Sus scrofa: one gene and its partners. The protein of the gene in region 5 interacts with the protein of the main gene of each other region in a pairwise test. Links are inferred from orthologs where the notes say so. Each region holds a gene or a part of one and is shown on either strand. Other genes may lie near its edges.

Region 1 (3,500 bases), on a different chromosome or scaffold from region 5:
GAGAGATTGGGGCATTAGAGGATAAAGGCACATCCAGTCTGATGGGGAAGGAGAGAGGCTCCCCTTACCCTGGGGGTAGGGTGGACAAGAGGGAGGGGGTATGACCCTGTTACACACCCCTCCACTAGCTCCTGGAGGTTGGGGGGGACCCAAGCTGCTGTGCCACCCCCCTCCCCCCTAGATAAGAGCAGCTCCAGCGCAGGTCAGTCGGGCCTGTGAGGGCCATGGTGTTGGGCAGCAAGCGAGATGGAGAAGGGAGGGATGCGGGCTGGAGGGTTTATGAAACCCCATTCACCAAACTACCCAACTCCAGGGGGGCGGAGAGCTCCCCATTCTCTGAGGGGCCCTTAGGAAGCTTGCTGACAGAGTCACCCTGAGGGGGAAATGGGAAAGAAAACGGAGAGGACGAAAAGAGAAGGGTCAGTAGAAATCCAGGTAACGACAAGCCCCTACCGTCCCCTTGCGCCAGGCATCCGCTGACCCGGGGGTTGGTTCACCTGATGGGACTCTAGTCACATTTACTCAGATCCAGAAAATAAGAACCCAACTTTCCTTTCTCCTCTACTGAAACTTTCCAGTATTCTAAATGCAGCCTACACTCCGTCAGACACACCTTCTCTGCAATTTAGTAAGAGATTTCTTTGGCAGTTTTCTTGTGCCCCCCCTGCCCTAGAACAACAAAAAAGGAGGTAGGGGGAACTACATCTTGCTTGCCTACCTTCTGTCCTGAAAGAGAATCCTCTGAAGGTTTAGTGCGTTCCAGGGGTGGCCGCTGGCGGCTCTGAGACTCTGCTCGGGAGATATAGTCAGCCACAGTCACTGGGGAAGGCAGAGGACCGAGTTTCAGAAGGGACCCAGGTACCCGACCACTGAACCCCAAGCCCGAGAGTTCACAGGCTAGGAGGCAGCCTGTTCTCTGAGGAAGGAGCTGAGCCCCAGGGCTGGCTGACCTGGCTGACGGTCTCCACTGACAGAACCATCAGTCCGGTTACCACGGTTGCGGCGGCGGCGGCTCCGATTACGACGCTGGGGTCTTGACTCATCTTCTGTGGGGCAGGGAAAAACAAGAGCTGTGCATCAATCTCCCACCTCTCAATTCTTGCCCAGTTCTAATTTTTCGGACCCAGGTACACCCCTTACTTACCCAGGCCATTCTCTGTCATGCTGGGCCCGTCAGACTCTAGGCCTCCATCCATGACAGTCCTGTCTTCATCAGTGCGGCGGCGGCGGGAGCGGCGGCGCCTGGCACTTGCTGGGGGGGGTTCCCCTGGCTCTGAATCAACTGGGGGCTCCGGTTCAGATGTGTCCAGTAGGCTGTAGGGATTACTGTCTGGGTCTTTCAGCACTGGTTAGAGGAAGAAGAGTTAGGAGTCAGGTGCCATCACCGCATCCTTCCTTTTGGCGCACATTCACAAACCCAGCTGTTTGCTTCTGGTACCTGAGCTGATAGACGAAGAGTTGTATCTCGAGGTGGGCCGGGGGGCAGGCGGGGGTCCCCTACCCCGGCCCCCAACAGGCCGCCTCCGGCTTTCTTCCGACCGAGTCGGGGGATCCCTGTCACCGGGCCCAGCTCGGCTGAGCTCCTCCCTCTTCTCTGACTCCGTCTCAGAAGCTGTAGATGGGTCTGAGCTGGGGCCTGACGAACACCAACACAGTGAGGTTCAATCAGGGTCACTCTCCCTACCCCAGGATCCATCACAGCCTCCAGGCTGAAGACTCTCTCTCTCCTAAGTCCTCCAGCCAATCACTTTGTTTTCTTCCTTTTTTTCTTTTTGGTCTTTTTAGGGCTACACCCACGGCATACGGAAGTTCCCAAGCTAAGGGTCGAATTGGAGCTGCAGCTGCCTACGTGGCCACAGCAACTCGGGATCCAAGCCTCTGCAACCTACACCACAGGTCACGGCAACACCGGATCCTTAACCCACTGGGCAAGGCCAGGGACTGAACACGCATCCTCATGGATACTAGTTGGGTTCGTTACCAGAGACACAACAGGAACTCCACTTTTTCATCTTCTCTATCACCCTTTCCTCAAGCTTCCACCCAGACCTCTGCCCCCGCCCACCACCACTGCCCTGCCTCCCTCTCCCATAGCCGGCTCACCATAGGCAGGACCGCCTGTCCTCCGGCCCCGGCCCCGGCCCCCATAGCTGCCCCCATAGGTTCGTGTGGTGTGGAGAGAGGAGGAAGAGCTCTCGTCCGTGGTATATCCAGCCTTGTCACTGCCACCGCTGCCCCGCCCACTCCCAGGAGGGCGAAAGCCCAGCCCAATCTGCCGAAGCTGTTCATCAATCTGCAGCCTCTCCAGGCGAAGCTGCTCCACCTCCTGGTTGGGCAGAAGTCAGAGAAAAAACAAGGAAGGAGAAAAAAGTATAAGCTCAACAACAGCCTCTCTGCATGCTTCTCTGCCCTGACTGTCCCTACATATCTGAACTCTCAGGAATGCAAGAAGGCTTAACACAGAAAATTCTGGAATCCAGCCCCACAGCCCCAAGTTTCCACCCCATGGTTTCTGTTCTACTCAGACACAAACTGGGAAGCATCACTTTTAACTTTTTCCACCAGCATCCTTAGTCCCCTTGTACACGCGGCTCTTTCCTCTCCCAGGCTTCCGGCTTGGGTACCTGCAGGTAGGAGAGGTGATATTCCAGCAGAGCCTGAGCATTGCTGATATTCTCTCGGGTGCCAACAAATATGAAGGGAACCATTCCCTGGAGAGCAGGGGGGAGGACAGACGGATTAGAAGGAGACTTAAATGAAGTGTAAGTCCACCCGAATGAGATCTTTCTGGGCTCTACGTCTACTAGGGGAAGTCAAAGTCCCGGTGCCCCAACCCCTAGAAAGTCCAGCCCTCAGAGAATGGCTTAGAGAATGATCCCATCTACTTTCAGAAACCAGTCTCTAGGTATAGCTGACCCATACCTCCTCCCTGGGGTTCTTCTTGTCATTATCACCTTCTACTCGAACCCTCACCACACCAGACTTATCCACAATCTCCTGGATCACTTTTCCATTCTTTCCAATCACTTTGCCTAAATGGATAAAGGAGAAATTAGGCCTTTAAAAAAAAAAAAAAAAAAAAAAAAGGAAAGAAAGAAGAGTAAAAACAGACAAGATAAACAGTCTTCCAGCTTTTTAATAATGATTCTGTTTAACAGTTCTCCTGCTTCTAGGCTTCTGGTGCATTTTCATAGGATAAAATATAACAATCCCTAGAAACCTGTTCTCCCATTTTTGTCACTCCTACTATAGACTGTTTGCTCTGTCCTTGCAAAACCGGAAGTTCACAGGGAGGCGCCAAGCCCAGAATCAATTTAAAGACTCTTGGAGTTCCCTCATGGCTCAGCAGATTAAGGATCCAGCATTGTCACTGCTGTGCTTCTGGTTATACCTGTGGCATGGGTTTGATCCCTGGCTCAGGAACTTCTGCATGCCACGGGAATGGCCAAAAATTAAAAAACAAAAACAAACAAAACAATGACTCTCACAACTGGTCCCTC
Region 2 (4,106 bases), on a different chromosome or scaffold from region 5:
GTCATCAGCAGTACGTTCACTACAAAATAATTTATTGCAACACACAGCTAAAGCCCTAGCCTATGTACAAGCACATGCACACCCCTGCCCGGCAGCTAGGGGGCGCGTTTCTTCCCCGTGCCTTGCGGACCTCTTCTATCAGATCTTTGAGATACTGAATCTCCTTGGCCAAGGAATCTGCCTTCTCTTTCAGAGCTTCGTTCTTCTTTTCCAGCTCTTTACATTCGCCAGTGAGGGCCTCCTGCTCTGCCCTCTTCTTCTGGCGGTACCGAGTGGCTGCTGTCTTGTTCTGCTCCATCTTCTTCAGCTTCTTATCTAGTTTCTCACCCTTTACTTTTGCTGCTACCACCTTCTCTCCAGGAGGATCATAGGGTTTGGGCCGGACAGAACCACAAGGGGCCCCGGGAGAGAGCAAGCTCCTACTTGGAGAGGCCCTGGAGGTGGAGGGACTGTGCTGGGGAGAGCCCAGATAGGAGTCAGGGCTCATACAGATGCCACTGTCATTATCTGAGGGGGCATCCTCTTCCTTTATGCATTGAGGAATCAAGGTAATGTAAGTAGTGGAGTCTGGCTTCCTATCTCCTTCCGAGATTTCCACTTCACCCTGTATCTCTAAACTAAAGGAATTATCTGGAGTGGAAGACAGGGCCCCTGGGGAAAGGGGAAGAGTTTGCAAGAACGTAAAGGGGGCAACCTGGTCAGTTGTTGGTAAACTTTCTGGGAGATGGCCAATTGGGTTCACTATCTGCGGGGGCTCCTGGAGTGGGGGGTCAAAGAGATCACATGTGTCATCCAACGTGGCCAAAAGCTCATCTGGCATGGTTTCCAGGTCATCTATACCCAACAGGGCATCGAAGTCGAACTCCTTCAGATCCATTTTCTCCACCATCCAGTCTGTCCCGGAGAAAGCATCCTCTGCAAGAGATTTAAGAGGGACGGAACCCAGAGTCAGATGCACGCGGCAGCAAGGCTTTATCACCAGACCCCACCGGCAGGGAAAAGCCCACTCACCCTTGCTGTTGTCTGAGGCACTGACCAACCCATCCACAGCCAGCCATTCGGAGGAGCCCGCCTTAGCTTTGTCGCCGGAGAACCCATGAGGTTTGAAGTGCTTGGCCACCTCCAGATATTCGTCTAAGAGCCCTAAGCTCTCTTCAGCCCCCAAACCCGACGGGTCGAAGGGGGACATCAAGTCCCCCACCAACACCTCGCTGCTCAGGAAGCTCATCTCGGCCATGTTGCGGAGTTTTGATGGAATCGAGGAATGTGCTTAATTCGAAGGTGTCTTTGTCGGTTACAGCAACGCTGCTGCTGAATGCCGTGAGAAGCCTTAACAGGAACCAGAAACCAAGCCCCATTAGAGAACAGCTGGTCTGAGCCTTTCGCCTCTCCACCCCCGGGGCAGGACGGCCAAATCCCGACCCCGTGTGGTTGTTGAGACTTGGGGGCCGCTGGCCCCGGCTGCCAACCTTCCCCGCGTCCGCCTGGCGGCGCAAGATGGACGCCCGGCCGTTCCCCGACCCGCCACCAGAGGAAGGCGCCCGGTCCTCCCGGCCGAGTCCGGCCCCGCCCACGCCCGCCCGTGACTCACGCCGCGGCCGCCGCCCTGCCCCGCCGCCATCTTGGCTGCTGCCACGTTTCGTGGAGCCCCAGGGGGAGCCCCGGCCCCCCGGCCGGGGCCGGAGGTACCGAGGACTTCGCCCCACGCCCGAACAGCGCAGCGGCCTCTCGACCCAGGGGCGCTGGCGCTTCGGCGTCACCCCATCAGCGGCCACGCGTCCCGGGCGCTCGTAAAACCGCTTCCCCCTCCGCGACGCCGCCGGACCGCGCCCCAGCATCAGACAAGAACCCTTCACCGACCCGGGGGGACACGGCCCAGAGCGTCGGGCCCCGGTACTTACGCCATGGCTTAAGCCGCTGGGGGGTGCCGCTGCAGAGCCTGGTGCTGCTGCCGCCGCTGCAAAGGCCAATGCTGCCGCAGGCACTGCTGCCTCTAATACGCCATGGCGGCCGCGGACCCTGCGGGAGCGGAGGAAGAAAAGCGCCCACTCGCAGAAAAGGACTACATCTACAGCGGAGAGGAAAAGAAATGGCGGCGGTTCGCCGAGCGCGGGTCCTTTATAGACTCTGCCTCTGTGGGACGCATCACAGAGAATATTCTTCCGCCTAGGTCACGTGACCAGCGCCTCCCACCCACGCGCTTTCATTTAACCGACGCCCCTACCATTTCCAGTCTCTGACTTTTATGTCGAGGGCGAAACTGTGAGGACCAAATGAGTTACTTTTATTTACAGCCTCAAAAAAGGGCGCACTACTTTACAAGGCTTTTGAGATCTAAGGATCACCACCGTCCGCTGCCGGGATGCGCGGAAGGATCTTGCACAGCTACTTCCGGTGCTAGCCCGAGAGGCGGAGACGAGTCTTTCACCCCAAGAAGGGCTTTTATTGTGAAGTACGAGGTCTCCTGGTTATCGCGCGAGCTACTGGCGGAGAGCGCGCGTCGAAATGATTGGTTAGGCATGGTGAGTCATATATACATCGAGTTTCTATTGGCTCAGGCTCCGAGGCGGGCGGGTTGTTCAGCGAGGGAGCCCCTGATCTGCGCGGGAAGGTGGGTGAGGTTCCCGCCGCCGGGCCCCGGCGTCCTGCTCGCCGTAGCGCCGCTCTGCAAAGGCTCCCTCAGCCCCGCCCACCCAGCTGGCCTTGATTGCCCCGGGCAGCCCTGGCCCAGATCCAAATAGTGGCGTTAGGTCCGAATCCTCGTGGTCCTTTCCTGCCGCCCTTGGAGAAGCTCCGAACTAGGGACCGGGTTTAGGCCCGAATGTGAAACTAGTCAAGAGTAAATGTTATTTCGTCTGTTTTCACTTGCACACACTTGCAGAATACTGAGGACGTGTGAACCCTTCAGTAACTGGAAGGGGAGACTGATGACCTCAGCTGAGATCCACCTACCATCAAAGGCCTGCTCTGCGTCCTGACTCAACTCTGTAGAGGCGAGTCGAGTGGAGGAAATCCATAATCCTGTGGTCTAAACAATTGTATTTTTACATATCCATTCTGCTAAAATACAAGTTTCCTTTTATGTTAAAGAATGAAACCTATGACAGGGGAACTTCTTTCAGTTTATGTAGTTTCACTTCCCCTAAAAATGAGGTATTTTATTTAGCTGCTCTTTCTCACTCTAGGGTAGTTTCAATTATTTACCAACTCTGTAACTCCGCGGCATAACCACTTCCCAGCAAGTCCTACTGCCTGGGTGCTTGATCAGACCTGCCCACTTAGGGGAATTTGTGTGTTTGGAGGCCACAGTCCAGGTTAGGGCCAGTAACTTGCCCTCTCTACTGGGGAACTGTCAAGAGCTAGGAGAAAGCTCTTTCACCATCTTCCAGTCCTCCAATCAGGCCCTGTAGGGAAACCTTGAGTTTCCACTCCCCTTCATTTCAGTGGGCCCTACAAATATTATTTCTATGAGGACAGTGAGGTCAAAAATTGGTCAGGCACTTCCTACATAACAACTAACCATTCATTGATTTGAGTCAGTCTAGCCCAACCATTTCTTTACAGTGGTAAGCTGATGACTAAAGGCATGACATGTCTTGCCTGGTGTGGGCAGTATGGGGTAGGAGTTATGACAGATTTAAGGGCCAATTCCAAAAAATCTTGGCTTTCCCATTTATTAGTGGAGACATTCTGGTTAAGTGACTTACCCCCACTGAGTCTTCGTTTCCTGATCTGTAAAACGAGGCTAATGATGGGTATCCTCATCCTTAGAATGAAGTTAAGATAATATATTCACAGCACTGAGCCGTGCGCCTGGTACCTGGTAAGTGCTGGATAAATGGTTGCCATTACTCCTGTGACTAGAACGCAGGTCTTCTAACCCACCTCCCATCCCCATCATATCCTGCTCCCTCAGAGGACTGTTATTTACTGAGATGAAATCAACAACTATAAACAGCTGGTCTAGGAAAGCATACTGGATACTAGGTATGGTTTTTCTTTCCCCTTGGGGAATCTCAATTCTCTGGAAACATGTACAAGGCATCTGGTCTTTTGGTGCAAAGACAGTAAGAATCCCGAGCCACTACCCCCGAGCCACTACCCAA
Region 3 (2,277 bases), about 68 Mb from region 5:
GAGATATGATCACACAAAGGCAGGGCCCAGCCAGAGTGCTTCAGTTCAAGGGATTCCTCCAACTCACAGCCAGTTCAGAAATGTCCCCAAGGCAGGCTTTGCCCCCAACACACCTGCCAACAGGTGCCTTGCTTTCTCTTTGCATGAACAAGGCAATGCTGACCACACCTCAGTGCCAGCCAGGCTTGTGTGTGCTCTTCTTTCCACTATCCTATTCCTATACCTTTATAGACTCAGAAGGCTCATCACTGTTCCCCCTACTCTCACTGCCCCCCAGGTAAGGATTTGTGGACTTGGGTGGGGGGAAGACCTGTTGCGGAATGTCTTGCTGCTGAGCTCTGCTGTGGATTGGTAAAGAAATCATCACCCTCCCAGGAACTCCTAAATCTACAAGCAGCCTAGCCCCTAACTGCATCTTTAGCTGTCCAAGAGGGTTTTGTGAAGGATCAGTCTTCCAACCAGCAAAACCTATATGGTGGGAGATAAACTGTTCACATAAGTGATCTGTTGATTATTTTATTTATCTTACAAACAGAGTAGGGGTTAAATAAAGAGTATTGGGTTTGCCAGTATCAGACACTTGGGACTGTTTTGTTTATTTTTTTCCCCTCAAAAAAAATAGAGGGAAAGAGCAGGGAGAGTTCTTTTAATATGCAGGTGCTTCAGGGAGAACCAAACCATTTCATTTCATCTGTTATTTCCCATCCCACTGGATCTGGTGCTTGGAGGAGGGGAGGGAGATGAGATCAGTGGATCAGTCACAAGCACTGTCATCAGCATTGCCAGAGAGGTCAAGGACAGACATCATGGAATCAGACAGCTTGCTGGCGAGTTTGTCTGCAGGTAGAAAAAAACGGTCAGTTACTTGGTTATTGGCTTGCCAACAGGAGGCCCACAAGAGCTAGCCTACGGTTACCTAGGTCTGCATCAAACTCCCAAACTGGCTCACTGATCACCTTCCAACACTAAACAAAACAACTGGTGGCCTACTGGCAGCCACTGCTCAACCTCGCAGGTAGACCCATTCATCTACCTGTGAAATGATCACCCCAACATAGCCTGAATCTCAGAGTGTCAGACTTACTAAGCTTCAGTATTTTTATCCCTTCCTAGTATCAAAACAGCTATTTTCTTTCACTATGTTGAACTTAGCACCCTGCCATTACCCTCAAATCTCTCACAAGAAAGAGGCAGCATAGCAGTAGGGGCTTTGATCTGAGCCTGAATGCTCACCTCCATCCTCCAGCCACACCCTACTGTTCCTCAGGATTGCCTCAGACATCACCTCCTTCAGGAAGCCTTCTCTATCACCTCAACCCCACCACCACCTCCAGGCTGGGTTAGGTTCCCTCACCATGCTATGTCTTCAGTGACAATTTCCTCACCAAATAAGACTTTTGCAATGAGTTAGTGAAAATTAATATAGCATGTGACCCAAATGGACCAGCCACACAACGCACTACCATTAACACAAAGGGGAAAGTTCTTTTGTGAACTGAGGCATAACTATCCATAATATATGTTGAGTGGAAAAATGATGTGGCAAAAATGTACGTTCAGGAGACTAGCCATTTGTCTAGAAAAAGAGGAAGAACATACCGATATTTGCCTGTGCACCTACCTCAGGAATGAGATACAAGAAATTAAATGGCTGCCTCTGGGGGGAGGCCTGGGTGACTGGGGGAATGAAAGGAATTAGAAGCAGCTGATAAATAAATGGCTATTTGATATATAAGACTAGGCCAGTGGTCCTCCAAGTGTGGTCCCCAGAGGAGCAACATCAGCACTAATGGGGAACAAGTTAGAAACATAAATTCTCAGGCCCCATGGACAACCTACTCAATCAGAAACTCTGAAAGCAGGTCCCAGAAACCTGTGTTTCAATAAGCCCTCCAGGCAATTCTAAAACGAGCTAAAGTTTGAGAACCACTGTGGTAGCAGGAGAGCCTCCTAACCCATTTCTGCCCCCAACCCTAGCCTGGGGTTGGACACATGGAAATGCTCACTCAGAAGCCCCTAAATAAGGCTCTAGGTGGGCCCTTTCTGGAGCACAGTGGGGTGGTCAGGGACCCCCACCTGTACGCTTCTGGATCTTCTTCTTATTCTTCAGGGCAGATGCCAGAGCCTGGCCCTGCTGCAGAGGGTCTGTCTCCATGATTCTCTGTAGCATCGGGCGGCGGTCCACTGAGCAGACTTCCACTGTGCTGTTGTTTCTGGGGTGTCGGTCCACATTGCGCTTAGCCCACCCCATCTGATGACGGTTTGGATTGGTACAAT
Region 4 (4,165 bases), on a different chromosome or scaffold from region 5:
GCTTCTCCCTCAGCTTTGCTTCTCTCCTCTGACTCCTGCAGGTCTGAGCACTTTTCTTGTGAACAGAGAGGGCTGCTGGCTGGGATGGAATTGCCTATCCTTGGGACTACCCCATTAGCAGCTCTTGAACCCAGATCAGTTCTGATGTAAACCTCCCCCAAGGGGCCTTATGGGGCCAGAGCAGATTTTTGCTTCTATTGGCTTCTGCCACCCTTCCTGACTCTTTAATTCCTGGGGCCCGACTCTCCGTTAGGGACAGTGTCTGAGATGTGCCTGGGGATGTGATAAAGGCACTGAACGTGGGGACCCAGTGACTGAAGCCCCTCGTTGCTAAGGCTGAATGACCTCCAGGGCTGACTCTCCGGAGACCCAGGGAGGGCGCTCTCCGCCATCACCCTCACCCCAACGCTCCTGGACGTTAGCCCACTGCGCCTCTCGAGCCCTATCTTCAACAAGCTCTAGGGAAAAGGGCGGAGAAGGGGACTCTGCGCATCCGGAGATTTCTTCTGGTGGCTCTACCCGGGGGCTACCGACCTCAACCCCATCCTCTAAAGTGGAGGAGCCAGATGAGAGGAACCACTTGCGGTTCTGAATCGTCTTCGGGCTTTTACTCGCCCCCTGAAGACTTTGCCCTGAAGGGGGTGCAGTTCTCAGGAAATGTTTTCAACTAGGTTCCCTGGAGGGCAAAGGCTAGGGGATGGCCAAGACTGGGAGGGAGAAAAGTTTCTCTCAGACCTCGACCTTGGCCTCCAGGGGTCGCGACAGCCAAAATGGGGCACCGCCCCTCGACGATAGAGCCCGCGGACCCTCTAGCATCTGGTTTACCCGGGCCGCGAACTCTGCGCCTGGAGGCTACTGGCAGTCTGGGTGCTCAGAAGACCCGGAGGCACAAAAGGCCTGGGCTTAGGCCGGTAAAGCGCCCTTCAAAAACCGATGTCGAGGTACAGGCAGTGCCACCCCGAGTACGTTTAGAAAAAGTGCAAGGCGAGATGACACGCACTGAATAGGGGCAAATACTGGAGCCAGGGACAAAACTCCAAGCTTGGAGCAGCTGGGGAAAACAAAACCTGTGTCCAGTGGAAATTAAAAACCTGGGGGGGTGGTTGCTCCTCGCCCCTCACCTCCATTGCCCACTCTAAGGCTTCCGAGTCCCTGACCCTCCTCTCCGCCAGCTCCGTTCCTCTCCGCTTGGCCAGTGAGCGGCGGCCGCCGGCGCCCCAGCAGCAGCTAGATGTCAGGCAAAGCCCGGAGCGCGGCGCGCAGGGAAGGGAAGGGAGGGGAGGAAAGGGGTGGGGCGGGGAGCGCGCGCGGGCTTGGCCAGTGCGGGGGGTGGGCGGGCTGAGTCCGGGGACAGCGCGGGAGGGGGGAGGGAAGGGGGGCAGCTGTGGGCAGGGAGCCGGGCTCGGCCGCCAGCACTAAAGATGGAGAGGCGCCGGGGCCTCGCAGGGGAGGGGGCTCGGCGTTGACGTGGGACGCGGCGGAGGCGCCGCAGCCGGTGGTGATTTGCTAACCTCGCAGTAGAGAGGAGTTGAGGGCGATGAGAGCGGGTACTGCGAACTGCCGGGCGATGCCGCCGCTGCCGCCTTGATACCGAGAGCAACAGTTCCCCAGCAACACCCCCCTCCCCGACACAGGCACACCCCCCGAGGAGGCACGCACACCCACCCCACGGCGCCCGGCTCGGCAGCGGTGAGTGGGGGCCCGGGGAGGGGCGCACCGCCCAGCTGTAGCCTTGCGCCGGGGCGCCCCGGGGCTGGAGAGGTCTGGGGGGGCGCGCTCGCTTCGGCCACTCGGCCGTTGGGCTTCTGCCTTGTTTTATTCTGCTTGTTCCCTTCCTGCTGCTGCGGCCGTCGCCACCGGCGGTTGGGGGTCGGCTAGAAGCGGGAGCCTCGGCTGTCAGCTTGGGCGCAGCTGCGTCCCCAACCCTTCCGCTCCAGGGCACGGTCGGGGCGAGAGGTGGGGGGCAGAGCGGTCTGCGGGGGCTGAGGGCACGAGCAGAGGGTTGGGGATCGGGAGGCTTTGTACCACCAGGGGCCAGCGGAGGAGCCGGGAGCCTGTGGGTGCTCATATGTATGCCGACCGGTGCGCGGGCGCGAGATAGGGCTGTGGTTTATTTGTGTGTTTATTCGCCGGCCGGCTGGGAAGCTAGAATCGGAGGATCCGAGGAGTAGATCTAGGGCGAAGGGAAGCAGAACTGGGACTCAGTTGGGTTTTGTTTCTCTTTGCAAAACGTGGTGGGCTCTTTTTTCCTGACTAGAGTTGACCAGCCCCCCCGCCCCAGGTTTTTTTTTGGGGGGGGAGGGGCACCGTGGCCGTGCGCTCTGGAGGGTCTCCAGCGCTCCGGGCCCTTCTCGGCTCTCGGCGGGACCCGCCGTGGCGCCGGAGCTCGCAGTTGCGCTCCCGGCCGCGCTCGGTGGGTGCTCGGCTTTGCACCTGATGCGTTCGGGATGCTTTTCTCACCCCGGCAAGCTTGCGGCTCGCTTGCAGAGCCACTGGAACTCCCGCACGCGCTCGAAATGCGCACGATCTCGCCGGCCCGCGGACCCGCTGGAACGCACAGACGCGCTCGGCAGAGACTCGCTCGCCAAGCTCCCCGGGACGCTCGCAATGTGCTTGGGCCCGGCGCGCCGGCTGCTGGGCGCCACCAGCCCGAAGCCCGGGACCTTGCTCATTGCTCCCGGGGGTCACGGCCCTGGGGCGGAGAGGGAGAGCCCGCAGACCCCTTTTCGTCTTTCCTCCCCCAACTCGCTGTCGGGCTTTTGTGCTTCTCCTTCGCCGCGGGGCGGGTCAGCCTCCTCGCAGCTCTCGCCCAGGCGTCCGGCCCGCCCGGAGTCTCGCCTTTCGTCCGGGTCTCTTTCGCTTTCCCTCTTGCTAGCCCGACTGCCTTTCTCTTTGCCGTCTGGCTCCCTCGGAAAAGTTGCTTCTCCAAGTTTGCTGAAGTCTTCAAGTCTCCGTGGGGGTGGCTGAAAGCTAGGGGTGTATGAGAGCGCGATCGATCCCCGGAGCTCGAGAGGGTTAGCGCCGGCTTTCCCTCGCGCCGCAGGGCTGGGCGCTGCAACCAGCGCCAGCCGGATCGCGGGCGCCAAGCCGCGGGTGGCGGGGACCGCTGACCGAGGCACCCTGATTTCCCTCAGGATCCAAGGAGCTTGCGTCGGGGAAGGAATTCGGGTTAGCCCAGCTTCCGTTCTTTGGATTGACCCCTCCTAGTTCTCTGAAATCCCGAAGTCTGGAAAGCGCATGGTGGCAAGGCGCCCATGAATGGCCGTTTCCCCCCCACCAGCCGCTGCTTCAGTTCTCACCCCAGGGTGAGGAGCTAAAGTGTCTTGATTAGTCGTCTTGTTAACCCTTTCTGCATAAGACTTGTGGCTATAGAGTGAGTAGGGCGCCTTTTGGGAGCGAAGGCCAGCAGCGTTCCAAGAGAGAGGGAGAGCCCTTGCTCCGCTTTGCTCCCAGGTCATTTCACTGCAGTATTGACCACAGCACAGCAGAGGCTGGGAGGGACCTGGGCCTGCGAGGTCTTTCTGACACTCTTTAGACACGTTTGGGAGTCCCACAGCCCTGTTACTGATCCCAGGCGGTTCTTTGGGAGACGCCTTTGTCTCCAGCCCTGTCTTCCCTTCGTATTCATCAAAACTCACACCATAGATACTGTTGTCAGTATCACTTCTTGCACCTCCAAGCCATGTCCAGCATCAGTAACTGCTCTGGGTCATAGGCCTTAGCCACTCCTGGGAGCCTGTGGGACACACTTGGAATTCACCTTCCCAGCATGTGCACTTCTGGGTTTAGGGGTGCTTATTTCTTAGGATCTCTCTATAGGTCCTTCATGACCTAGCTTACATTATACAGGTCCCCCTGACCAGTGGGCACTGGTGGGCAGCAGATAAGTACGACATATTATGTAAGTGCACACATGTGTTAACTCTCTCTTCCTCTCTGGCTGGTACGTGCACACACGTGCACACACACAGTCCAGGTTTTGGATTACATTTCGATTATGAGCACTTTGAGGAACCTATGGGCGGCAGTCAGCCAAGCTAGAATGTGGCTTATGTGAGTGTCTTCCTCTCAGTGTCTAAGGAGGGAGTCAGGCATGGGTTCATCAGTCCTTTGCAGCCTTGAGGAGAGCAGGAGGACAGAGGCATTGGCTGGAGAAGTCGATTTC
Region 5 (4,097 bases):
ACCCTACAGAAACAACTTTCTTAGGTCCAAAAGATGACTCTTGCTCTAGACTTTGTCTGTTCACCAAGTAAACTGGTTTTCTATCTGACTTCATGTCAGATCCCAAAGAGTAAAAATGAACTCTTGTCATGCTCTCATTTCCATTCTCTCTGCTGAGCTTATTCTGCTCCTGTTCACTCCTAACACCTTCCTACTGAAGCCCAGCTCAACAGCAAGAGACCTGTTCCCTGTATCTCATTGAACCCACAATGTAAGGTTTATTGGTACAAATAAAACACTCAGCATCAAAAGGTCTTAAACAAGAAGGAATTTTATTATCTAAATTAGAGGTTCTAAAGTAGGGCTGGTTCCCGGCATGGTACAGAAGACATCTGGGCAGATACATGTAAGAATCAGAATTCTGAACCCCTCAAATCCTCCTGACAGTTCCTGGCTGGCAGCGATAGGCCCCACAAATCCCCTAATCAGGCTTCCCTGATTTAACATTTCAAAGACTTAACCTGGGGTTATGGGCTCACAAAAGTAGAGATTATTCTCAGCACTCACCCCACTCCCTTAGGGCCTCCAGCCCTCCAGGCCCACAAAAAGATCTCAGCACAGCTCAGACAGCATTACAAGATCTAGTATGGGAGATAGCCAGGCATCTTGTCGATTTCTACAGGCAGGAATCTGGGGCACACAGATGGGTGGGGATCTTAAGGGTTATCTGCCCAAGGAGGATGAAACATTAAAATCTGGCTCCACTTATGGGTGCATTTACCCAGGACTCAGGATTTAACATTAGCTCAAGCATCTAAAATCGGTATTGAAACAATGTGCTACCTTGTTTATGGAAGCCTGAACTCAAACAGCACCCTGCAAGGAATAAGAGTTAAGAGGCAGCACTTGCCTGGCAGGGCTGAGAAAGAACCCAAAAGCTCAGGAAGACAGGAATATGGTATGTGCCCTGATGTACGCCTATTGTCCCATTCCGATTAGTAATAGTGCCCCCTTTTTCTCTCGAGTGTCCCAGTTTGGGATGGTGTGCCATCTACTCAACTACCCCTTATTCATCCCATCCTGGAAGCCCCAGAGGACACTCACTTCACCAGGGCTTTAAAAAGTGCCTTGGTGAGGGGAGCACCAGTTTCCCTATAAAGCTCTGTAGTAGCAGTCCTCTATTGCCCAGACATGACAGTAGAGAATAATGGGATTGAACTAGGCTCTCTGATATCAGTAGGAATAATGGGAGTCAGGGTGAGAGTGGCAAAGGCCAATGATAGCACTTAACCATTAAAAGACGCTCTTTTTTTTCCGTAGTGCTTGATATTTATTGAAAAGAATGCAAATGCTTTTTCTATGTAGTATTGAGGAGCTGGGCTGAGTACCTGCTTTTGTCTGTCTGGTTTTTGTTTTTAGTATTTTTGTCCAAATGCACACAGCTGTGGGACTGCTTCAGTTTTAAAAGAAAAATGACAGTTGTGCAAAACTGGTGCATAAGAGAAATGTCAATAATTTGGCTGCCAGGCACAACGGGCCCCTGCAGCAACCTGGTGAGGCAGGAGAAGACTCTATGAGTTAGGAAAGGAGGGAACGAACCAGGTGCAAAGATTCGCCCCTCGTGGGGGGGTGGGGTGGGCGTGAGCAGTCCAAATCAATGTCCCAGGTGGTATAGCCAACTAAAAGCATCTTCTAGGTTGGTCCTTGTCTCCAAAGGCCTGGTCTGTCTGTCGCTGGAATGTGATGGAGGTTGGTTAGGTGGCAGCGTCGGTCTTTGGGCAGATGTAGGCCTGACAATCGGCAGGGCTGTGGGTAGTCTGACCAGTTTGTAACAGTCTGCCCTATAGTTGGGGCTCAGAACACAGTTCAAATTAGCAGGGTTGGGCCCTGGGACTGGCCTGAGTGGGAGGCAGCGCACTTCAGAGAGGCCCCAGCCCCAGCAGCAGGTAACTGTAGCACTATTCCCAGAACAAAGACAAACACTACGGGGGGGGGGGGGGGGGGGGGGGAGCGGTGAATAAGGAAGAGAACCAGAGCGAAGACTAGGAAGACTAGGGAAGCAGATAGGGAGCGAGGGAAGTGTCGCGGCTCCGGGAGGAGCGAAGCGGGGCGGGGGGTGGTGGCGGCGTGCAGGGCCCACCCCCCTAGGCCCGAGGGTCTCCCGGCCTAGTAATCAGCTTCTTCATCTTCTTCGTCGTCTTCTTCGTCGTCATCCCAGCCAAAACACTGCTTCATCTCATCGAGGAAGGCCCGGTAATCACCTAGGATGGGGCTATCCATCTCAATGTAGGGCACCACCCACTCTTCGGCTTCCCCGGTGAGCAGGCTGATTAGGAATGCCACCTTCATGGCGTCGTTGCAGAACCGGTTCTCGTTGACGAGCATGTAAGACGCCGTCTGCACGATAAACTCAGGGAGGCGGGAGCTCTCACCGTTAAACGTTTCGGGGAAGGGCACCGGGCAGCTCGGCGGACGTACCTGGCGCAGTAGGGTGGCCCTCTCGCACACCAGCAGCCGCAGCTGTTCCATGAGCTGGCTGTTCTCGATGCTCAAGGCGCGGTGCCGCATCAGGAGCGCGTGCAGCAGCAGTACCAGCTCGTCCACCATGGCGAACAGCTTGTAAGAGCAAGAATGGGCTCAGCTCGGTTCGGATCGGCTAAGGTGAGCAAGGAGGCCTTGCAGGAAGTGCGTGTCCGCGGAGGCGCGCGGCGGCCAGGGGCGAGAGGCGGTGCGCGCAGGGGTCCCGGCAGCTGCGCAAGCTCCACCCACACAGCGGCTCTGACGGCCGGCACGCCGGCGCCGCCCGCTTGGAGGGAGGCGGGCACTGGAGAAAGGAGGGGCGTGGCCAGAGTGGAGCGGACAGAGGGAGGGCGTGGCCAGGCAAGGAGGCGGGCAGGGTCTCGGGCTGCTGGCTCGCAGTTCTCCCGGCCCGTGGATAAAGGCAGTGGGGGGAGATCCAGCCCTAGATGCGGGCCAGGCCTTAGCCAAGGCCGAGCAAACGCTAAGATCCATCTCCCAGAGAGGGTTAACCTGCTCAAGTTTAAAGGATTAACCACCCTTCAACCCAAACGACTCAATGTTCCTCGGTGGGTCTGTGGCCACCAGATTCCATTTATGTGGTTTTAACACATTTCTTTGCGTGTTTAAATCTCCCTCACTCAGAGAACTATTAGCAATTCTGGCTGCACCGCAGGAGTCACATCCTTTAAGAGTTATGAAAGACGTTCAGGAGTCCTGTCTTTCATGACAAAGTAATACTTAAAAAGAGGTTTTTCTTTAGTTGTAAAATAATATTGTGTACCTCTATCCTTTTGTTTAAAATTACTTTTAAATAGCAAAGTGTAAAAAGTTCTGCAAAAGTTAGTATCCAATCACCATTTGCATGAGTCCTGCCTATCTTTGACTCTATTTCATGTCCTACTACTGGTTATTGTTCTTTGCTTAACAATGAACACATGTGTTTTTAAAATAGTTTTGTTTTCTACTTTGAATGTGATTATTCAAATAGTTGACAAATAAGTCAGGGTGAGGACCTTGGGGCCAATATATTTTTTTAGCTTTGCTTTTTAAATATATCAGCAGTTTAATTACCTGGGGATCTCTAAACAGCACTACCACCCTAAGGCCAGCCCTCCTTTCTCACACAGACTGTTGCAGCTCATCACTTAGCTTCCACTCTTCTCTTCCTCAAGTTGTGTGTGTGTGTGTGTGTATTATATACATACTCCAGAGTAGATATAGGAATCCTTTAGGACAAACATTAGATCTCTTTACTTTCCTGCTCAAAACCCTCCAATAGTTTTTCCCCCTTCGCTCAAAATAAAAACCAAAGTCTCGGTAATGGCCTATCAAGCCCTGCCTCACTCCCTTTGCCTTGTCCCAGTTCCTGCTCTGCTGTCATCACACTGTCCTTCTTGCTGAGGCTCACACACACTGAGTGGCTCTGGCCTCAGGATCTTTGTACTTTCTTTTTTGCCTCAGAATGTTCTCCTGGTTTTACTGCCTGACTCTTCCTCCATTTTCAAAGCGGACTTTCCTAACTACCTCATCTATCAGAGCACCCCACTCTCTGCCAGTAACCTCTAACGTTTGCCTTGCTTCATTTCTCTACATAGCAT
Region 6 (4,204 bases), on a different chromosome or scaffold from region 5:
GAACTCCAGGTCTCAACACTCATCTTGGCTCTCAGCTCGTGCATCCGCGCACCCTCAGTGCTTCCCTCACTAGGTGGAGAGCAGGGATTCTGAAAAACGTTAGGCGCACCGAGGCTGGGAAATGAAACGACCAGGGGGTGGTCGCCGGAGACCCCGCCACGCCCTTCGGGTGGGCGGCCCAAGGGGTCTCCGAGGGCCTCCGCGAAGCCCCATGCGGCCGCTTGACAGCACAAACCACCCCAGCACGGCATCCCTCAAACACTGAGCACCCAAGGCAGACGGGCTGGTCGACGGAGTCGAGCGAGGCGGACACGGCTGGGACCACCCGGCGAGCCAGCCGCCCCGTCCCTCCCAGCCGCGCAGGCGCGCTGCGCCCGCCCCACGCCCGCGGGAAGGCCGGCCAGCCCAGCCCCAGCCCCAAAGGCCGCGTTCCCGCCGCGGGGCAGGGCGGGGCCCGCTGCGCCTGCGCACTCGCCTCTCGCGCCGCCCCTGCGCCTCCGGGAGGCGGCACCACCACGTGACCACTGCCAGTACCCAAGATGGAGGCTGTGGCCGGGCCTAACCCGCTCCCCGCCTCAGCCTCCGCCCCGGTCTGCGCCCACTAGGCGGGCAGGCCCGCGGTCATGATTGTTAAGCCACCGTGGGCAGCTCTCGGGGGGGCCGGAGAGTGAAGCTCGCCAGAGCCCCTGCCCTGCTCACAGTCACCACAAGCCCGGGCTCTCTCCACTTTCCCAACCGCCAAGCGCCCAGCGGCTGGCGCCTGGAGCGTCCTCTGATAGCCCCGCCCCTGGGATTGGCAGCTCCGGCAGCCAATAGGAACCAGGACGTACCGGAGAAGGCGGGTAGGGGTGGAGCATCCCTGCCGTTCGTAGGGCGTCGGGCCTGGCGGTTGGCGGCCGCTGGCCGAGGGGCGGGAGCAAACGGGGCGGTACCCGGGGCTCCCGCGGACCAATGGAAGGACGGCCGGGCTCCCGGGGAGGGCGGGGCCGAGCCGTAATTGACGAGCTCTTCATTAGAAACCCGGCAGGAGGGAGGGGCCCGCGAGGGGAGGTGATGCAAAGCCGCCGCAGCCAACGGCTGCAGAGCCGCCCGCCGGGGGGCGGGGCCGGGGCGGCTGACGGGCGTCGGCGGTGGCCTATCAGTGCCCCGCTCGGTGCTGGAGGGGGGAGCAGCATCATGGTTCAACGTGGGTCAATTTTTTGTGAATGAGGAGGGGAGGTTGTGGGGCCGCCGCCGCGGAGCACCGTCCCCGCCGCCGCCGCCGCCGCCGCCGCCGCGCCCGAGCCCGCGCGCCCGCCCGCCGCCCGCCCGCCCGCGCCGCCGCCTCAGCCGCCTGGGCCCGGCGCGCCGCGGCCGCGTCCCCGCTGTCGCCGCCGCCCGAGCGCCCGCCCGCCTGCCGCCCGCGGTGGTGGTGGCGGCGCAGGCTGAGGAGATGCGGCTCGGAGCGCCCGCGCGGGGCTAGAGCGCCCGCCGCCGCCGCCGCCGCCGCGGTAAGCGCTGCCCCGGCCCGGCCCGCGGGCCATTGTCCACCCCCCGCCCGCCCGCAGGCCGCCCGCCGGCCTCCACGCCCCCCGCCGCCCGGCCCCGGCAGGTGGACGCCGGGGTCCGCCCGGCCGGCCGGCCCGGCCCGGCCCGTGCGCCCAGGCCGCGCGTGGCGCCAGCCCGCGGGCGTCCGGAGCGGGAGGACCCGTCCTGGACCTTCCCCTGCTGCCCCAGCCGGCGAGGGCCGACGCGCGGCCGGGGCAGGATGGCCGGCTGGCCCCGGGCGCCCGCGCCCGTCCAGGCCGAGCCCTCGGCAGGTGGGCCGGGGGCTCCCGAGCCCGGGCGGGCGCCGTTTATGTAACTTTGTCGAGGCTGTGAGTTTGCAGAAAAACGTCCCTCCGCGGGGCTCGCGGGCGGGGTGCGCCGTCGCCTGGTGTGTGCCCCGGCCCGGAACGGCAGGGGTGGGGGTGCTCACGACCCGAGTGGGTGCCCGCAGGCTTCCCACAGGCCGAGCTGTGGCCCCGTCCTGCCCCGAGGATGTGAGCCGCGTTTCCGGGCGTTGCAAGCACACACCATGGAATTATAAGCAAATTATCTCGTATTTACATTTAGCGTGGAATTATTTGACACTGTTCTAGCAGGAGATCGTGCGTATCAGTCGGAAAGGCCGGGGGTGGGACCCAGTGTACTCATTTAATGCACATCAAAAATTTGTAATAACTTGCAGCAGCTGATATGAGTGTTTGCTTTATTGCATGTTGTAAATTGACCTGCTGTGACACAATTTTCAAATAAAGTGTTGCAGAAATTAAACTCAAGTTATTTTAAAACTAATGACTTTCTTAACTAAATCCTAATTGCATTACTGTAGAGACCTACCTAATTGCTCGCAGCAGCTCCGCCTGCCCTCGGTGAGGGAGGAAAGGGCCTGGGTAGTTACTTTGCTTCCCCCTCTTTTCTCTACTCAGGCTTTTCTGTTTATTCCCACAAACCACCTAAGCATGAGAGGCCTGGGAGCAAACATGTAAACAGCCCTCGCCCAGCGCCAGCCCAGCGGGATGGGAATTCTGGTGGGTTTGCACCTTGGCCTGGTTTCACTTTTTCTTTTGTAACATGATCGTGATTGCCTTGAGTTTTCGTTGCTTCTGATAATTCTGTACGTTATTTCGGAGACGGTGAAGCGAATGAAAGCTGTGAGCACAGGTGTGGTGGTTTCAGGATCGGGCCAGGAAAGGTGGGGGGGGAGGGCGAGAGATTGAATTAAGAAAACTCAGCTGCTTGTACACAAATATACACTACAGCAATTACAAAGCAACAAAAGTTATTGCAGAATTTTGCAGTCACTATGGCAACACAATTACTCTATTATAATTGGAAATGCAAAATGCCACCCTGTTAGAAGTTTCATCAGAATGGAGCTCTGGATATCAAAAATATGTGGGGTTTAAATTTTTTTCAGGTAGCTCCTGAGAATTCTAAAATCTGTGTTCAATTGTCTATTTTTAAGACTGATCAAGCTTTCCCAGATACTCTGCTCCCTGGGATCTGTGGCATCTTTCCCCAGAACTCACATTTGTGTGGGAGGGAAGTATTTTCCTGCCTTAAAAACACACACTCTGACACATTGTTAGACTTCTATAGCTTTCTGTGTTCTGGGCTTTTATTTTCAAGATCAGAAACCTTCCTAAAGAGAGCAGTAATCAATCAGAAAAGAAGCAGGATTTCTGCGCAGGCAGTTGTAACACTGCCCTCTTTAGGGTTGGTTCTTCCTCCTGCAAGGGGACCTGGCAGCTCGAGTGCCCCTGGGAGAGCCCTGGGATGGGGGAGGTTGGAGGCGGGGGTGGGGGGGTGGGTGACTGTGGTCTGCACGTAGGCCTGGAAGGCCTGGGGACCAAGGACAGATGTGGCCTGAGCAGCCGTGAGCCAGGAGAGAATGTTCTGTGGTCAGCAGCTTCACAGCCATGCAAAATAAAAAAAAATCTCTAAATGCCCAGTTCGCAGAGGCTGTGGGGGCCCTTGCTGTAGCAAGATGGACAGACCAGCCTGGCACCCCGGCCACGTGCAGCTGGGGAGCAGGTCCAGACTCAGTGGTCGGAGACCTGCTGTCTGAGGGTGCCCTTCTCCATGTTTACCAGGAGGCCTTGAGTTCTGGAAGTTTCCACACATCGTGGGGTTGCTGCAGTTTAATTTCATTATAACTCTTTCCTTTTAACTACTGCATATTTATGTCCAGTAATCGACTTCCATTTTCCAGCTTCATTGTGAGGTTTCAATGCAGCATGAGTGGCTTTGAATTCTCATCCTTTGATGTTGGGGTGGCACCGGGGACAGGCGACTTTGTGCCGTCCTAATTGCCAGAGCAGAAGAAACATTTCATCACTCCTGCAGAATTCGTCCATACCGTGCTCTATTGAAAACGGCTGGGCTTTCATCACTCAGAAACTGCCATGAGTAATAGATTAGTGCCTGATGGAGGGAGCGAGGGAGATGCCGAGAGCGCAAGACCACTGCTGCCGCCGGGAGGCTGCGGGGCCTCGGGCTGTGGCTGCGCCTCGGGTCCCTGGACCAGGTCGCAGCCCCTGCTGGTCTGGCCTGGAGGGGGTTTGGTTTCCGTCCCCGATGGGCGGTCAGGATGTGCCGGGGCGTGCAGGGGGCTCAGGGCTTTGGCCTTGACCTAGAGGAAGGTGGAGGATCTTCTGGTTGAAGTTAGAGAGGGGCCCTG
Region 7 (4,283 bases), on a different chromosome or scaffold from region 5:
AGAAGCAGAATGTGGAAGTGCGAGTGTCCCGAGCAGTAACTGGACACAACTCACACTCGGTCAGGTCACCTGAAAACTGCCTGCTCTCAAGTGCCCAAGTCTACTTAACTCCACTGGAAATGTGGTCAGTGATTATATCTTGGGAAACCAATCACAAAGGAAAACCAATCACAAGGGGAAAAACCAATCTCAATGATTACATCAGCTCTGGTAAACAGGACTCTTGCCTATAGAGCACAAATGTCAGTTACAAATATGACCAATTTAAGACCTTTTTTTTTTTTTTTTTGGCTGCACCCACAAGGCATACAGAAGTTCCCAGGGCAGGGCTCAAACCCATGCTGCAGCAGTGACAGCATCAGATCCTCGACCTGCTGAACCACCAGGGAACTCCACAAGCATCTTCTAAAGTCTTGTTCTCCTCTCAAAAGACTAAAAATAGAACTACCATATGACCACCAGCAATTTCACCCCTAGATATACATCTAGAAAGAAATATATAATGCAAAAAGATTCATGTTCACGGTAGCACTATTTACAGTAGCCAAGCTATGGAAGCGATCCTAGTGTTCACCAAGAGACTAATGGATAAAGATGTGGTGCATACACACACACATAACGGAATACTATTCAGCCATCAAAAAGAATGAAATCTTGCCATAGTTGCAACATGAATGAACTTGCAGGGTATTACGTTTAGTGAAATAAGCCAGAGGGAAAAGGACAAATACTATGTGACATTACCTGCAGGTGGAATTTAAAAAAATAAAATGTATACAGCAAAACAGAAACAGACTCACAGATACAGGCAACAAACTAGTGGTTATGAGGGGGAGGGGCAAGATAAGGCAAGATATGGGATTAAGAGATACAAACTACTAAGTATAAGAGAGATAAGCCACAAGGATCTGTTGTACGGCACAGGGAATGACAACGATTATTTTCCAATAACTTTTAATGGAGTGTAATCTATAAATACAGGAATGACTATGCTGTACACCTGAAACCAACATTACATTGTAAATCAACCTTCCTCAATTTAAAAAGATTTAAAAAAAAAAAAATCTTGCTCTCCAACTGCCACTCTCAAGTGAATGTGAAGTGTGAGTGACCCAGAGTAACTGGACACAATTCGAACCCCTCAAAAGTCACCCGACATCCGCTTTCTGTGGGCCCACCCAAATCTACTTAACCCCGAGGTGACCCCTCTCACAGGTGGCAAATCCGTCCTCATGATTACACTAGCTTTCGGGGAAACAGCTCTCCTTTTGCCCATACAATACAAACACCACACACAGATAGGACCAATTTAAGGGCTTCTTTTAAAAGTCTTATTCTCAAACTGCCACTCTGAACGTTTGGGAGTGAGCTCTTTGTTTTCTTGGTCAGAAAAGGCTTTTAACTAAGGAGACAACTCCTGAATTCAGGTTCCAGTGGCAGTTAGGATGCTTCACCAAGGGTCCTCTCCAAGAATATGATCCTCTGAACCCTGGTGTGTAGGAAGCGCTTCTTAAAAAAGACCCATGAAGGAGTTCCCTGCGTGGCTCAGTGGTTAACGGACCCAACTAGGATCCATGAGGATGCGGATTCAGCCCCTGGCCTAGTTCGGTGGGTTAAGGATCCGGCGTTGCTGTGGCTGTGGTGTAGGCCAGCAGTTACATCTCTGATTGGACCCCTAGCGTGGGAACTTTCATATGCCTCGGCTGGGGCCCTAAAAAGCAAAAAAAAGAAAGAAAGAAAAAAAAAAAAAGACCCACGATACAGATGGCCTACAGGCACATGAAAAGATGCTCAACATCACTAATTATTAGAGAAATGCAAATCAAAGCCACAATAAGGTAGCACTTCACACCAATCAGAATGGCCAACATTAAAAAGTCCACAAAAACAAATGCTGGAGAGGATGTGGAGAAAAGGCAACCCTCCTACGCTGTTGGTAGGAATGAAAACTGGTGCAGCCACTACGGGAAAGAGTATGGAGGTTCCTTAAAAAACTAAAAATATGAGTTTCTCAAGAAGTTACCCTAGGAAAAAAGTAATAAATGCACACAAGTCGTTGCTAACATTCACTGAGCACTCTTCTCCAGTGTCAGGCACTATGCTCCAGGCACCTGACATGAATGATCTCGTTTTAACACACACACACACGGAGACAAACTCAGAAGGCTGGTACTGTTTCTATCCTCATTAAGGAGATGGAAAACGAAGTCTGAGGGTGTAAGTTACTCAAGCTTGGCATAGCCAACTCGGGATTGAAACCTCGGCTCCTAACCACCGCTCTGGACTAAAACTCAGTGTAGTGTTTGGACCAGAACATCGAGTTGATGTGCAGATCTAAAATATTAAGCCTAAGCGACAGACGCGTTAGGTGGGGGAGGGGGCAAAATCGCCTGGACGCGCGGTAGAAAATAGGGCACATCAGCCCAGGAGAAGGGCACTGACTCACATTAAACAGTTTGGCCGCCAAATTGAACTGACAGGCATCAACCACCCACAAAGTTCAAAGGAATCTCATCACCCCACCACTGAGCCACCTCTCCGAGTCGCAGGGGCCCGCAAAGGGAGGATCCCAGCGTCAACAACCCCGGCACCCAACCCTCAAGCTCACCCAGGCCCCCGGGCTGCCTCGCCCCGGGCCCGCGCCGCGCCACCGCCGTTCCCCGTGGACGCCGGGCCCCTCGCGGCCTCACGCCCCGGCGCTGCGGCCTAGGCTGGCGCAGCCCAGCAGGGCCCAAGATCGACCGGCTCCCCGACCCAAGGGCCAGCACTGACCGTTGTATGACTTCCCTTCGTCCGCCATGGCGCAGCGAGCAGGGGCGGGCTCTGTCGCGGCCCGCGACACCGGCAAACGTCCGAACGCCCAGGCTCTCCCGGCTGAAGTGCTCCTACGCCGGATGCCGCCGCATTTATGCGGCCAGCGCGTCGCGCGCAGCCGACGTCCCACGGTGATGGGCGGAACCACTGGGAGACGCGCGTGCGCATTCGACGAGCGGACTAGCCGGGGGCGGGACTTGGCGTTGCACGCCCCGCCCAGGACCTGAGCTTGGGAAGCCGAGTTACCGCGGGTTCGCCGGCCCCCTGCTTTCATCCACCCCGCCGCTAGTAGCTCTCTGCTGGAGCACCTCCAGGGTCAGCGGTGAAGCGGAGAGGTGGCTACTGCAGCCCAGGATTCCGAGAGGAACAGGGAAGAGGGGCTACAGGAAGGGCTTCCGAGGAGTGGGAGACCAGGCCCTTAGGAGCGGGAGTGACCGCACATAGACACCTAGAAGGATCCAGCCAGGGCAAGTCTCAGCTCAGCCCTTTGACACTTGCAGATCTAGGCCTCGGTCTCCTCGCCTATAAAATGAAATAGAAAACTAACGGTAAACTCCTAGAGAGCAGGGGCTTGATTAATTCACGGCTTTTTCTCTCCGGCACCTGACTGGATACCATACTTAGCACGCACGCAGCAGGAACCCAACATATATTTGTGAAATAACTACTGATCTATGCATTCCCTCCGAGAGAGTTGCAATCAAAGGAGAGAAAAACGGCATTTGCCAGGCTTTGGCTGTCTTCACAAACCAACCCACCCACCAACCCACCGGGATGTGCTATGCTAAACCCACGTCTTGTGTCAACTGGGCAGTGAGGAGGCCAGCCTGACCACACGCTGAACACAGGCCAAAGGGAGAGGAAATATTAAAATGCCATGGCTAGGAAAGACCTGGGCTCTCCTGGACCCCTCAAAGTACTGGGGCCAGCACAGTGTATAGTGACTGTTGTCTCTACAGCTTGAGCTTCCTTTCGGGTGTGTGAAGTGGGGGAACTCCAGTGATGCAGGATGATGTGGTTCTGGGTCCTGGTCAGGACTAGAAAGCATATTAACCTCCCTGGAGGGTGGGTGTTCCAGGCAGGTCACTCCTTCATTCTTCTGACTGGCTTGGATGTGGTGAGGGGCTTCAAGGGGACCAAGAGCCTCAGCTGGAGCTGGGAACGGATTCTTCATGTCACCTTCACTCCTAGCAGCAGGCAGGGCTCCTACTTCATCCAGCGCAAGTAAGTTTGGGGCCAAATGGTTGGAGCATGCAGATGAGACAGGTCCAAATACTTCTGGAGATGGTCCTGGAAGTTGCCGTCAATCAGGGACCCAGGCTGGGATCCTGTTACGGGCCTCTGAAGGGAAGTTTCCATGCTAACTAAGTGCTGCTACACCTGGAAACCCCCTGCGGGAGGCAGCTGTGTGCACAGAGTGAGTGAGCCTGGCCCGTCAGGGCCATCAGCCCAACCCTTTTAGTTATGAT

Evidence for each region.
Region 1: the proteins of LDOC1 (region 5) and FXR2 interact in binary tests that used the Homo sapiens proteins (3 or more experiments, as listed by UniProt). The two-hybrid records come from large-scale screens. The link is inferred for Sus scrofa from reciprocal best matches to the Homo sapiens genes LDOC1 and FXR2.
Region 2: the proteins of LDOC1 (region 5) and ATF4 interact in binary tests that used the Homo sapiens proteins (3 or more experiments, as listed by UniProt). The link is inferred for Sus scrofa from reciprocal best matches to the Homo sapiens genes LDOC1 and ATF4.
Region 3: the proteins of LDOC1 (region 5) and GNL3L interact in binary tests that used the Homo sapiens proteins (3 or more experiments, as listed by UniProt). The two-hybrid records come from large-scale screens. The link is inferred for Sus scrofa from reciprocal best matches to the Homo sapiens genes LDOC1 and GNL3L.
Region 4: the proteins of LDOC1 (region 5) and ZBTB16 interact in binary tests that used the Homo sapiens proteins (3 or more experiments, as listed by UniProt). The two-hybrid records come from large-scale screens. The link is inferred for Sus scrofa from reciprocal best matches to the Homo sapiens genes LDOC1 and ZBTB16.
Region 6: the proteins of LDOC1 (region 5) and HDAC4 interact in binary tests that used the Homo sapiens proteins (3 or more experiments, as listed by UniProt). The two-hybrid records come from large-scale screens. The link is inferred for Sus scrofa from reciprocal best matches to the Homo sapiens genes LDOC1 and HDAC4.
Region 7: the proteins of LDOC1 (region 5) and NXF1 interact in binary tests that used the Homo sapiens proteins (3 or more experiments, as listed by UniProt). The two-hybrid records come from large-scale screens. The link is inferred for Sus scrofa from reciprocal best matches to the Homo sapiens genes LDOC1 and NXF1.

Annotation. Positions count from the first base shown.
Region 1 is NC_010454.4:52,886,258-52,889,757, forward strand, and holds part of FXR2 (fragile X mental retardation syndrome-related protein 2), read right to left. Parts: intron 3,033-3,500; coding exon 2,923-3,032; intron 2,712-2,922; coding exon 2,625-2,711; intron 2,327-2,624; coding exon 2,104-2,326; intron 1,637-2,103; coding exon 1,439-1,636; intron 1,346-1,438; coding exon 1,145-1,345; intron 1,047-1,144; coding exon 951-1,046; intron 820-950; coding exon 719-819; intron 374-718; coding exon 278-373; 3' UTR 1-277. UniProt on the Homo sapiens protein: mRNA-binding protein that acts as a regulator of mRNAs translation and/or stability, and which is required for adult hippocampal neurogenesis. Specifically binds to AU-rich elements (AREs) in the 3'-UTR of target mRNAs.
Region 2 is NC_010447.5:8,742,953-8,747,058, forward strand, and holds ATF4 (cyclic AMP-dependent transcription factor ATF-4), read right to left. Parts: upstream 2,801-4,106; 5' UTR 1,902-2,800; intron 1,330-1,901; 5' UTR 1,238-1,329; coding exon 1,012-1,237; intron 916-1,011; coding exon 56-915; 3' UTR 12-55; downstream 1-11. UniProt on the Homo sapiens protein: Transcription factor that binds the cAMP response element (CRE) (consensus: 5'-GTGACGT[AC][AG]-3') and displays two biological functions, as regulator of metabolic and redox processes under normal cellular conditions, and as master transcription factor during integrated stress response (ISR).
Region 3 is NC_010461.5:47,282,744-47,285,020, reverse strand, and holds the end of GNL3L (guanine nucleotide-binding protein-like 3-like protein), read right to left. Parts: coding exon 2,077-2,277; intron 838-2,076; coding exon 755-837; 3' UTR 501-754; downstream 1-500.
Region 4 is NC_010451.4:41,638,171-41,642,335, forward strand, and holds the start of ZBTB16 (zinc finger and BTB domain-containing protein 16), read left to right. Parts: upstream 1-1,365; 5' UTR 1,366-1,689; intron 1,690-1,709; exon of another isoform or gene 1,710-1,956; intron 1,957-3,181; exon of another isoform or gene 3,182-3,305; intron 3,306-4,165. UniProt on the Homo sapiens protein: Acts as a transcriptional repressor. Transcriptional repression may be mediated through recruitment of histone deacetylases to target promoters. May play a role in myeloid maturation and in the development and/or maintenance of other differentiated tissues.
Region 5 is NC_010461.5:115,579,325-115,583,421, reverse strand, and holds LDOC1 (protein LDOC1), read right to left. Parts: upstream 2,801-4,097; 5' UTR 2,587-2,800; coding exon 2,146-2,586; 3' UTR 293-2,145; downstream 1-292. UniProt on the Homo sapiens protein: May have an important role in the development and/or progression of some cancers.
Region 6 is NC_010457.5:138,654,467-138,658,670, reverse strand, and holds the start of HDAC4 (histone deacetylase 4), read left to right. Parts: upstream 1-1,404; 5' UTR 1,405-1,490; intron 1,491-4,204. UniProt on the Homo sapiens protein: Responsible for the deacetylation of lysine residues on the N-terminal part of the core histones (H2A, H2B, H3 and H4).
Region 7 is NC_010444.4:8,968,585-8,972,867, reverse strand, and holds the start of NXF1 (nuclear RNA export factor 1), read right to left. Parts: upstream 2,801-4,283; coding exon 2,773-2,800; intron 1-2,772.